Linked DNA regions of Rattus norvegicus. The protein of the gene in region 1 interacts with the protein of each later gene in a pairwise test. Links are inferred from orthologs where the notes say so. Each region holds a gene or a part of one and is shown in the gene's direction. Other genes may lie near its edges. The genes, in order: Itsn2, Sos1 and Synj2.

The links.
Region 2: the proteins of Itsn2 (region 1) and Sos1 interact in a two-hybrid assay, tested with the Homo sapiens proteins (2 studies listed by BioGRID and IntAct). The link is inferred for Rattus norvegicus from reciprocal best matches to the Homo sapiens genes ITSN2 and SOS1.
Region 3: the proteins of Itsn2 (region 1) and Synj2 interact in a two-hybrid assay, tested with the Homo sapiens proteins (2 studies listed by BioGRID and IntAct). The link is inferred for Rattus norvegicus from reciprocal best matches to the Homo sapiens genes ITSN2 and SYNJ2.

What each region holds. Positions count from the first base shown.
Region 1 is NC_086024.1:33,370,854-33,374,500, forward strand, and holds part of Itsn2 (intersectin-2), read left to right. Parts: intron 1-89; coding exon 90-153; intron 154-640; coding exon 641-778; intron 779-1,177; coding exon 1,178-1,263; intron 1,264-2,259; coding exon 2,260-2,522; intron 2,523-2,621; coding exon of another isoform or gene 2,622-2,720; intron 2,721-3,403; coding exon 3,404-3,553; intron 3,554-3,647.
Region 2 is NC_086024.1:20,284,659-20,288,938, forward strand, and holds the start of Sos1 (son of sevenless homolog 1), read left to right. Parts: upstream 1-1,458; 5' UTR 1,459-1,471; coding exon 1,472-1,558; intron 1,559-4,280.
Region 3 is NC_086019.1:48,993,275-48,996,921, forward strand, and holds part of Synj2 (synaptojanin-2), read left to right. Parts: intron 1-194; coding exon 195-386; intron 387-3,647. UniProt on the Homo sapiens protein: Inositol 5-phosphatase which may be involved in distinct membrane trafficking and signal transduction pathways. May mediate the inhibitory effect of Rac1 on endocytosis.

The sequences.
Region 1 (3,647 bases):
TTTGATGGTAAATGTTCCAAGGAAGCAGCAACATTATCTGCAAGACTTAACAAACTAAAGTTGTTTCTTTTTATGCTTTTCTCAATCAGGTTTTCAAGCTAGAAATGCCCTTCTTCAATCAAATCTTTCTCAAACTCAGCTAGCCACTATTTGGTGAGTGTACCCATCAGTGATTTCAAATTATATACAGTCTATCATAAAAAGCCGCTCTGGAAGATGGCTTCTGAAAGAACAAACATAAAATCATTGTTTCTATAAAAATTTGTTATGCCAGAATGTTCCATAAAAGTGAGCATTTGGAAGTTACATTCAGCAGGAAAGTGTACATGCTTGGAACTTAACCTTGATTTTATAAGCAACAGTGTAGCTTTCTTTATTGACTTATGTTGCAATCCAGAGATTGCAACATGAAATGTCATAAACCACCCTCCCAGAAGGAGCATTTGCTATGATGATTCACTGTCTTCTCTTTCTTTTGGACTATGAAAATTAAGAGTAAAAGTTGACTTTTTTTGGTATGTATTTACGTTTTCCTAAAATATATTAATCTAGAATTTATCATGTCGTTCTTCATAAAAATAAAAGTCAGTAAAAACTCTAAGTAGACTTTGTAACTTGTGATTGGTCATGTTGCCTTTAGGACTCTGGCTGACATTGATGGTGACGGACAGTTGAAAGCTGAAGAGTTTATTCTGGCGATGCACCTCACTGACATGGCCAAAGCTGGACAGCCGCTACCACTCACGTTGCCTCCTGAGCTCGTCCCTCCATCTTTCAGGTGCGTGTCTGCAGAGCCGTGGTTTGCTTCAGTCACTTAGGTGTTGTTTTTTTACCTCTCTGGAGCCTGTGCTTCAGTTTAGAGGAGAGTCACAGGTTTGCTCTGCCCTTCGGTCTTATACTGTGTGAGTCACGCTGGGAAGTAGATAACAGAGGGGTTGTTCTCCCTATGCTATAAAAGAGAAAAGTTTAACTGAAAAGATTAAGAAAAACTCGCCCACACTGGATCTCTCTGATTAATATCCTAGTACTTTGTATATTGTGACTAAAGGCATGCTGTGGTGTAAATATCCTTGCTACTGTATCTTAAATATGGACTTGTTTTAATTGTTGGTGATCTGCATTTTTTATCTGAAAATTCTCAGGCTTTATGATGCTCTTTGTTGTGTGTCCTTCTTAGAGGAGGGAAGCAGATTGACTCCATTAATGGAACTCTGCCTTCATATCAGAAAACACAGGAAGAGGAACCGCAGAAGAAATTGCCAGGTGATAATTTTATACTTTTAATTAATTTATTTTAAAATCACAATCGTAATTTCTTTAAATTTTACTTTTGAAGTACAAACAAATATTTAGAGTATTTATAGACTTAAAAATTATATGCGGGGCTGGGGATTTAGCTCAGTGGTAGAGCGCTTGCCTAGGAAGCGCAAGGCCCTGGGTTCGGTCCCCAGCTCCGAAAAAAAGAACCAAAAAAAAAAAAATTATATGCTACATGAAAATAGTGAATGGGTGACATTTGTGTCTATGTCCATGTGTGTGCGCGCATGCGTGCACCTGTATTACTGGGGATTGAACACATACACTTACGTAACATCACCAGCTCGTTGGGATGTTTTAAATTACTTGTATATCTCAATGAAGAATAAAACTAAAAATGATGAAGGAAGAGAGGGAGCATGTATATATTTGAAAAGTTAGTGTTTTTTCCACATTGGGTAGAATCAGATCAAGGTTCGTAAAATTTTTAATGAAAAATTTTAATGAAAAAGTTTTAAATATTCATTGAAAGAATGCACATATGATTATTTTAAATTATTTAAAAGGTAGTAAAAAGACTGGAATTATAGCTCAATAGTAGAATGTTTAGCTCATACTAAGTTTAATCTCCAGCACTATAAACCAAACCAAACCAAAAACCACCTTCTTCAGAAAGTTAATGTGTGTGTGTGTGTGTGTGTGTGTGTGTGTGTGTGTGTGTGTATGCAGAGGAAACACAACCATGGTTACTTGAAGAAAGCACTGAGAAAAGGCAAACCAGTATTTTATTGGTGTTTGAATAGAGTTAGATGTAGAAAATTGGAGTTTTAAGTGAGTATTTTACAGGAAGTACTTTCCTATTTCCATGTGAGTTAGAAGTATCTGAGAGCAAGAGCAAAAGACCTCCTAGGCGACTACTAAGCAGAGTGCGTTAAACTAGATGAGAGGCTGTAGGCTTGAGACAAAGCATAGTCCCCCCTCCCCGCTCCCTCTCCTTTTTAGTTACTTTTGAGGACAAACGGAAAGCCAACTATGAACGAGGAAACATGGAGCTGGAGAAGCGACGCCAAGTGTTGATGGAGCAGCAGCAAAGGGAGGCTGAGCGCAAAGCCCAGAAAGAAAAGGAAGAGTGGGAGCGAAAACAGAGAGAACTACAAGAGCAAGAATGGAAAAAGCAGCTGGAGTTGGAGAAACGCTTGGAGAAACAAAGGGAACTGGAGCGACAGAGGGAGGAAGAGAGGAGAAAAGAGATAGAAAGACGAGAGGTAATTTTCTGACTGAGTACGCAGCGTTTAGTAAGAATATGCTGACGTGGTGCTGTGCTTTCCCATCTAAATCATGTCACTGTTCTTTACCCTGAACAGAGCTGCATCTCCTTTCCCTTGATGAGGGAAAGAGAATGGATCTCTGTGTATAAGGACAGGAAGGGCTTCATGGCAGAGTTGTGGAAACCTGGATCATGTGTAAGTGAGGCCCCAGTCAGAGGACTGTTTGCACAGCTGAGCTAAGCCAAGAGCTACAGTTAGTGGACATCAGAAAGTCAGGCAGACGAGGTCACTGGGTGAAGGCAGTCTTAGAATTCACAATCAAACTGTGAAGAATCGAAGGACCAGACTCAAACTTTAGGGAGGTGAAGACACAAAGGTGAGTCAAGAAGTCAGCCTAGGGTTCCAAGAAACACTGTTGTTAAGGGCCAGGAATGGAAGTCAGTAAATTACAGCGTTCTGAAAAGTTATAAATGAAATCGTTTCTCCTCTGATACCAGAATAAAGGTATAAGTATTTCTCTTGTTTTTTATACTTATGAAGCCTTCCTTTGACTTTTTTTTTTTTTTTTTTTTTTTGGTTCTTTTTTTTTGGAGCTGGGGACCGAACCCAGGGCCTTGCGCTTCCTAGGCCAGCGCTCTAATTCCTTTGACTTTTTAAAAGAGGAATGACTATCTAACAAAAAGATGGTTCTGTGAAGCAATTAGAAGTGATGAATAAAAGCTACCTCTGTGGCTATGCTTAGGTGCATTGGGAAACTACCTCTACTTACTTTAGGCAGTGTGGCCATCCACTCCGAAATGCTGTCATCCCATGAGACTTTGAATAACGCAGAGTTTCATAAATTTAAATGTTAACAGTAATTTGTTAATTTTATTTAGGCAGCAAAACAGGAGCTTGAAAGACAACGGCGTTTAGAATGGGAAAGAATCCGTCGACAGGAGCTTCTCAATCAAAAGAATAGAGAACAAGAGGAAATTGTCAGGCTGAATTCTAAAAAGAAAAGTCTCCACCTTGAACTGGAAGCAGTGGTACGCCTAGAGTTTTTGTGAACCTGATCTCACAATGCTGGCATTTCCTGTCCAGGGTGTGCTTGGATCACAAGGGTTTGATTGCTAAGCAGGA
Region 2 (4,280 bases), about 13 Mb from region 1:
AAAGGAAAGACTTGAAGATTTCATTCAGACCCTATAAGGTGGTCTAAAAGATGGTGGTTTCAAACATTTTTTCTTCTGTGAGATCTTGTTTATTGTACTTCAAAACAGCAAGACCTAATGTCAATTTGAACCCAGGCTGGTTCTTCCAACTGTCTCGTCATCTATGAAATGAAAACTGAGAATTAAAACAACGCTGTACTCAGAAAGAGTTCAATGATAAGGCACAATGTGCCATAGCGCTGCACAGTGCCACTATAATAAGCATCTCCATCCTCACGATGGAAGGACAATTCATAGATACTGCTTTTATAGCATTCCGCAATTTTCACGTCTCTATTCTGGGTCGAGTACCAAGGCGAGGTGAGGGGTGGGGGGGGAATCTCTGTCTTCCAGAAGCTAATTATCCAGTTGAAGCTATGAAAGATCCCAAGCAGGACGACTAAATCCACAAATAAAAGCTCGTGGGTTTGAGTAGACACACGATCAATAAATACTACACGTATCCGTTCTCATGGCATGGAAAGGCAGATGGAAAAAAGCAGTCTCTCCTCCCACCAGACAAACCCTGAGCAGTCGTTTTTTTGTGAGAGGAATCTATCTTTTGTGCAATCTGTTTAGTATACAGTGCATGCTCAGGGCACTCCTTATCTTCGTGCTGGGAACAAAGTACACACACCCCTTTTCTAAAACACAGGGCCTAGGATCTCCTAGAACTGGATGGGCTCCCCGCCTGCCGGACCACACAAAGGGGGCGCTTTGCCTGCTCGCAGGCCCCCACACCCAGACACTTTCTCGGGTCGCGGGTTCGCTTTCAGGGTCCCTCAGCCCCGCCTCTGCGAGTGCCCTCCCCAGCCTCTGGCGCGCACCCCTCCTCATCCGCGGGCAGATGGAAAACCCGGAGCGAACCGGCCTGGGCCGCTGGCGCATGCTCAGTTGCGAGCAGGTTCAGTTTGCTAGTAGGAAGCTCCAGCGCTACACCGGCGGCGGCGGCAGCGGCAGCAGCAGCGACGACGGCCGAGCGGCCGGATTCCCCGGCAGCGACCTCGGGCCCTTCTCCTTCCTCACCCGATCCCGGTCCCGGCCCGCCCCGCTCTGGGCCTCTCGCTTGAGTTCCCCGCCCGCGAGCGGGCGCCACCGGCCCGAGCGTCCCTCCACGCGCCGTCTCTCGGAGGGCCAGGCCGTGCGGGGGAGCTCAGCCCCGGCGGAGGGCGGCCCGGGGCGGAGCGGGGGGCCTGCCCCGGGGCGGTGGTGCGGGATGCCGCCGCCGCCACCGCCGGGCTGCGTTGCCTCTCGACGAGCGGCGCGCGTGTCCGGTGGGTGCCCGGCCGCGGGCCTCGCCCCCCAGACTCCTCGCCAGCGCTAGCCGGGCCGCGCGGCGCCCCGAGGGGGCCGGGCTGTGCGCGGGCTGCGGCCCTTCTCCGCGCCGCGAGCCGCCGCCCCTCCGTCCGTCCCGAGGCGCCCCGCAGGCACCATGCAGGCGCAGCAGCTGCCCTACGAGTTTTTCAGCGAGGAGAACGCGCCCAAGTGGCGGGGGCTGCTGGTGCCTGCGCTGAAAAAGGTAGGGGCGCGGAACCCGCTTCCCGGCCCCAGTCCGCTCGGGGCCGGGTGAGGGCGGGGAGGCGGGGCGCCACCGCGGTCTTTCTTCCCGGTCTCGGGTCTCGGGGAGGTCTGCTCAGGCTGTGAGGTTCCCCGCGTCCGCTGCTCCAGCTGTTGACACTCGCCCGGGGTGCGTGGGAAGGCCGCACACAGTCGGGGAGGGTTGGTCTGGATCATCCAAGCACCGAGGCGAGGGTTGGAGGAGCCTCGGTTTTCCGTGGAGGTCAAAGAAGGCCATTGCCTACCTTCTCGATCTTACCGAGCTGCGGTCAGTCTCTCGTTTTAGGAGTCCAGGGCTCTCACTGGCTCGAAAGTGCCCTGGCCACAGTGCTTGCCTAAGTAATTGCGAGGTTGCCTGCCAGTAAGAACATGGCCTGCTTGGTTTTGCTCGTCCTCAGTCATAACTCCCCGTTCTCTTGACACCCTCCCCCCTCCCATTACAGGAGTGATGCACATGCCACTGTATTCAGATTGGTTCTTTTGAAGTAGCTGAGAATCTTCGAACCTCGTTTGGTTTGGTGTTTTGCATCTTTAGTCTTTGTGTCTTTGAGTTTGCCAGAGGTTGAAGTAAATTATTTGGAAATTATTTGCTACATTTTAAAAGCTTCTAAAGCAACTGTCTGGTTTGGCATTTTGAATTTATGTTTGCCAGTAGTTATCCGTGGCTGTTGATACATTTCGAAAGCTTCTAAAGCAACGCTTGTACCAAGACATCTGAAACAGGTGTGTTTGAATGGATTTTTAAAACCAGATTGGTTTTTGTTTTTATTTGCCTTACCTGTAGAGATTGTTTTACTCTTCCAGGAGTTTTAATCTCGATTTCTTGTTGCTCAGATGATTTTCATGCTCTCTTTGCTAAAATACAGTTTTGTTACTACTGAGTATTGAGTACAGAGTTTGCTGTACCATGCAGAGCTTTTCTATAACCAGAAAGTGTTTTCATACTCCACAGAGGCCAGCACCTTTTAGTTTCTCCTTTGCACTGTTCTCCCCTTCCCCTCTTGGTATCTTATGCTGGAAAACTGTTTGCTTTTTTGGGAGACTTTGCTTTTATTTTTCAGACTTGGGTTACTGGTTTTTATCCTCAAATGTCTTACAAATCTCTAGGTTTTCTAAGGAAATCAAAGAGGTCACCTCGTTGTGCATACTTTGTTCATTAGAGATCCCATGAGGCTTCAGTCCATTTTTACCTTGGCTTTACCTGCACACTTGCCTGCTTAGTTTGTAGAATTGGAGAAGTATGCCTCATGACGCTAGAAGTTTGGTATCTTGACAGGACAAGATGAGACAGAAAAATTGATTTATATGTACAAAAGCTCTCACAGAACATTACCAGTTTGAGGTATTCGGCTTAAAAGCAGGTAGCTCCTATTCTAAGGAGACCTCCACAATATCACTTGAGGATCCTTTGGAGTGGTAGGAAGAGCATTGTAGAAGTTGGCAGACTACTGTAACCTGCCTCATGGGTGGCCCTCGCAGAAACCTATTTTGTGTGGCTGGCATTCTGGGTCTTTTTGTTCGTTGTTTTGTTTTTCATTTTATGTAATCAGTTGCCAGTATCTTAAGATGAGAAATGTCGGGGTTGGGGATTTAGCTCAGTGGTAGGGCGCTTGCCTAGCAAGCACAAGGCCCTGGGTTCGGTCCCCAGCTCTGAAAAAAAAAAAAAAAAGATGAGAAATGTCACATACAATCTGAGTTCTTATTTTTTTCTTGAATTAGAGATGGACTTGCCATACATTTTCACCATCAGAAAACTGCTGGAGTTGTGAGTGACTGCCTTCTGTGGAAAGGGTTTTGTCCCCAGTTCACCATAGTGTGGCTTGTGTTCTATAGCTTCGCGGTTGGCTGGCTTTCCGCTTGAAGCAGAGCCGTCCCTGCAGAAGTGAGATGAAGAGGGAGTTTACAGGGTCCCTAATGCATGAGGTTCTCCTCATTCACATTCCCACCTGCAATGCTCTTAGGACACCCAAGACAAGGCTGGATATATTTCTCATATTCAGAATATGCTCTTGTAGCTTAAAACTTGAATATTGTATGTGTGTTGGACTTTTCATGAAGATGCGTCCTTGGACATTTTGTGTGGGTGTGTCCTTATCCTGAAATCTTCAGACTTTAAACTGCTTGTATAATGCCCACCAGTGTGTTTTCTTAGCTGAAGCTTTTTGGACAGTCTGCTCATTTGATCTGGCCTACTACTACTCAGCCTCAGAGATTCTTCTCAGGCGCTCAGGGTTGCGTTGGATAGTGCTCCATTGTTTCTTCCTAGTGTCCTATCCTAATTTACTTGTCCATATTCATGTTAGCTACCCTATGGGACTTCTACACCGGTGCTGTACCTGACACCTGTTAGGACTCATTTTGAACAAGTGTCTTTGTCTGTTACTTTGAGTTTGCCAGAGGTTAAAAGTAAATTATTTAGAAATGTTGCTACATTTTTTTAAAGCTTCTAAAGCAACATTGTAACTTAGTAAATCTTCAACTCTTTCCTCCTCCTTTTGGTTTGGGATTTTGAATTTCTAGCCATTATATGTTACTTTTAGTTTGCCAGTGGATAAAGTTATTTGGAAATGTTGCCAAGTGTGTAAGGGGATACTCATAATAAAACTGACCCCCACCACCAGTTTCTAACTTCTTGGTTAATGGCTTTAAACTTGTATTTGACTGGTTCAAAACTGAAGCCTAGG
Region 3 (3,647 bases), on another chromosome or scaffold:
TGGAAGGCACATTTCCAGCCCTATCTTTTCATGCTTTATTGCAGACAGGAAAGTAGAGTGGTTAGGGTGGGTATGTCGGTCTGTTGTCCCCAGCTCATGAGTGACATTCTCTGACAGGCCACATCTCATACAATACAGGAGGGTTTCTACAGTCTAGGCTGCAGAAAACATATGCCTCTTTTGGTTACTAACAGCAACACCCAGGATCCTGAAGGCCATGACAGAACGCCAGTCAGAATTCACAAATTTCAAGCGGATCCAGATTGCTATGGGGACCTGGAATGTGAACGGAGGAAAACAATTCCGTAGCAATCTCCTGGGGACCACTGAACTCACTGACTGGCTCCTGGATGCACCCCAGCTCTCAGGAGCAGTGGACTCTCAGGGTATGTAAGAATGGTAATTTGGGAAAGGACAAACATGGATTCCTACAGCCTGTTCCAGGAGCTTGACTCTACGAGCATTGCCTTTTTGTTGTTATTGAAGACCAACCTTAGTCCCTGGTGATCTGATAGGATACATGAGATTATTTCTATCTTCCTATATCTGTTGAGACCTGTTTTGTAACTGATTATATGGTCAGTTTTAGAGAAAGTACCATGAGGTGCTGAGAAGAAGATATTTTCTTTGGTTTTTGGATAAAATGTTCTATAGATATCTGTTAAATCCATTTGGTTCATAACTTCTGTTAGTTTTACTGTGACTCTGTTCAATTTCTGTTTCGATGATCTGTCCATTGATGAAAGTGGGGTGTTAAAGTCTCCTACTACTATTACGTGTGGTGCAATATATGCTTTGAGCATTAATAAAGTTTCTTTTATGAATGTGGGTGTCCTTGCACTTGGAGCATAGATGTTCAGAATTGAGAGTTCATCTTGGTAGATTTTTCCTTTGATGAGTAAGAAGTGTCCTTCCTTAGCTTTTTTGATAACTTTTGGTTGAAAGTTGATTTTATTCAATATTAGAATGGCTACTCCAGCTTGTTTCTTGAGACCATTTGCTTGGAGATTTTTTTTCCAGCCTTTTACTCTGAGGTAGTGTCTGTCTTTGTCATTGAGGAGTGTTTCCTGCATTCCGCAAAATTCTGGGTCCTGCTTCCATATCCAGTCTTTCAGTCTATGTCTTTTTTTTTTTTTTTGAAGAATTGAGTCCATTGATGTTGAGAGATATTAGGAATCAATGATTGTTGTTTCCTGTTTTTTTGTTGTTGTTGTTGTTGTTGTTGTTAGAGATGGAATTATGTTTGTGGAATTATCTTCTTTTGGGTTAGTTTAAAGATGACTTTCTTGCTTTTTCTAGGGTGTAGTTTCCCTCCTTTTGTTGGAGTTTTCCATCCATTATCCTTTACAGGACTAGATTTATGGAAAGATGTTGTGTAAATTTGGTTTTGTTATGGAATATCTTGGTTTCTCCGTCTGTGGTAATTGAGAGTTTTGCTGGGTATAATAGACTGGGCTGGCATTTCTGTTCTCTTAGGGTCGGTATGACATATACCCAGGATCATCTAGCTTTCATAGTCTCTGTTGAGAAGTCTCATGTGATTCTGGTAGGTCTGCCTTTATATGTTAATTGATCTTTCCCCCTATACTGCTTTTAATATCTCTGTTTTGTGTTTGGTGTTTTGACTAGAATGTGATGGGAGGAATGTCTTTCTGGTCCAATCTATTTAGAGTTCTGTAGGCTTCTTGTATGTTTATGGGCATCTCTTCTATAATTCTATGGAAATTTTCTTCTATGATTCTGTTGAAGATATTTACTGGCCCTTAAGTTGGGAATCTTCGCTCTCTTCTTATCCTTAGGTCTGGTCTTCTCATTGTGTCCTGGATTTCCTGGATGTTTTGGGTTAGGAGCTTTTTGCATTTTCTTTTTTTTTTTTTTTTTTTTTTTTGGTTCTTTTTTTTGGAGCTGGGGACCGAACCCAGGGCCTTGCACTTCCTAGGCAAGCGTTCTACCACTGAGCTAAATCCCCAACCCCTCTTTTTGCATCTTCTTTGTCTGCTGTGTCAATGTTTTCTATGGTATCTTCTGCCCCTGAGATTCTCTCTCTTGTATTTTGTTGGTGATACTTGCATCTATGACTCCTGATCTCTTCCCTTGGTTTTCTATCTCCAAGGTTGTCTCCCTTTGTGATTTCTTTATTGTTCCTATTTCCATTTTTAGATCCTGAATGGTTTTGTTCAATTCTTTCACCCATTTGGCTATATTTTCCTGTAACTCTTTAAGCAATTTTTGTGTTTCCTGTTTAAGGGCTTCTACCTGTTGGCCTGTGTTGTCCTGTATTTCTTTAAGGGGCTATTTATGTCCTTTTTTTTTTTTTAAAGATTTATTTATTTATTATATATAAGTACACTGTAGCTGTCTTCAGACACACCAGAAGAGGGCATCAGATCTCTTTACAGATGGTTGTGAGCTACCATGTGGTTGCTGGGAATTGAACTCATGACCTCTGGAAGAGCAGTCGGGTGCTCTTAACCGCTGAGCCATCTCTCCAGCCCTATTTATGTCCTTCTTAAAGTACTCTAACATCATCATGAGATGTGATTTTTAAATCAGAATCTTGCTTTTCTGGTGTGTTGGGGTATCCAGGACTTGTGGTGGGAGAGCTGGGTTTTGATGATGTCAAGTGGCCTTGGTTTCTGTTGCTTAGGTTCTTGCACTTGCCTTTCATCATCTGGTTATCTCTGGTGTTAGCTGTCTCTGACAGTGGCTTGATCCTCCTGTAAACCTGTGTGTCAGCACTCCTGGGAGACCAGCTCTTTCCTGGCAGAAGCTGGGTACAGAGAGCTGTGGCACAATATCCTCTCCAGGCACAGACAGAAACTGGAAGGATCCTGTCCCAGACTGTTCCTTGGTTCCTGTGTCCTAAGGGCTCCAGGCAGGTCCCTCTGAGCAGAAGTGGTGCTCTCAGGTGTGTCAGCACTCCTGGGAGACCAGCTCTCTCCCAGCAAGATCTGGGTACAGAGAGCTATGGCACAGAATCAGCAGCTGTAGGCTGCCTCATAAACTTTAATACAGATATTTATGTTTTCATTTGTCAAAATGTTTAGCAAGCACCATGGTGTCACCTTCTAGAGTGATGCCTTCCAGTGTTATTGTTAGCTACAAGACTCTTCCGTTCCTAAGTACTCGGAGGGGTTTCCAGGGAGTAGTTCGTCTTTTTCTCAATGTGCAGAGATTTTGTGATGCTAGGAGCTAAGTGCTAGAACTAGTCGTAACCTATAGGAGATGCGGCCTCTATTCTATGCTGCTGCAAGGGGCTAACGGAGCAAGGCTTGCCATGAGTGTTGGGCATGCTGCAATCCTGTCTTTCTCCAAGGCTACTCCAGCATGGACAGTCCCAGTCTAGGACTCTGAAATCTTAAACGCTACAGCAGCTGAAGCTTTTTCAGTATTGATGAGATATGATGTAGGGGTGGGGGAATAGCATCACAGGGGAGAATCCTCCACCTCTGACCTCATGTGATGGATCACAGTCAAAGCCAGCAGCACTGAAAATGTATAAAACTACTATGTGTGCATGTGTGCATGTGTGTGTGTGCATGCATGCGTAAGTGCATGAGTGTGTGTGTGTGTGTGTGTGTGTGTGTGTGTGTGTGTGTGTGTGTGTTTATCAAGGTGTATATGGCACAGATGAATTCCATGTGTAG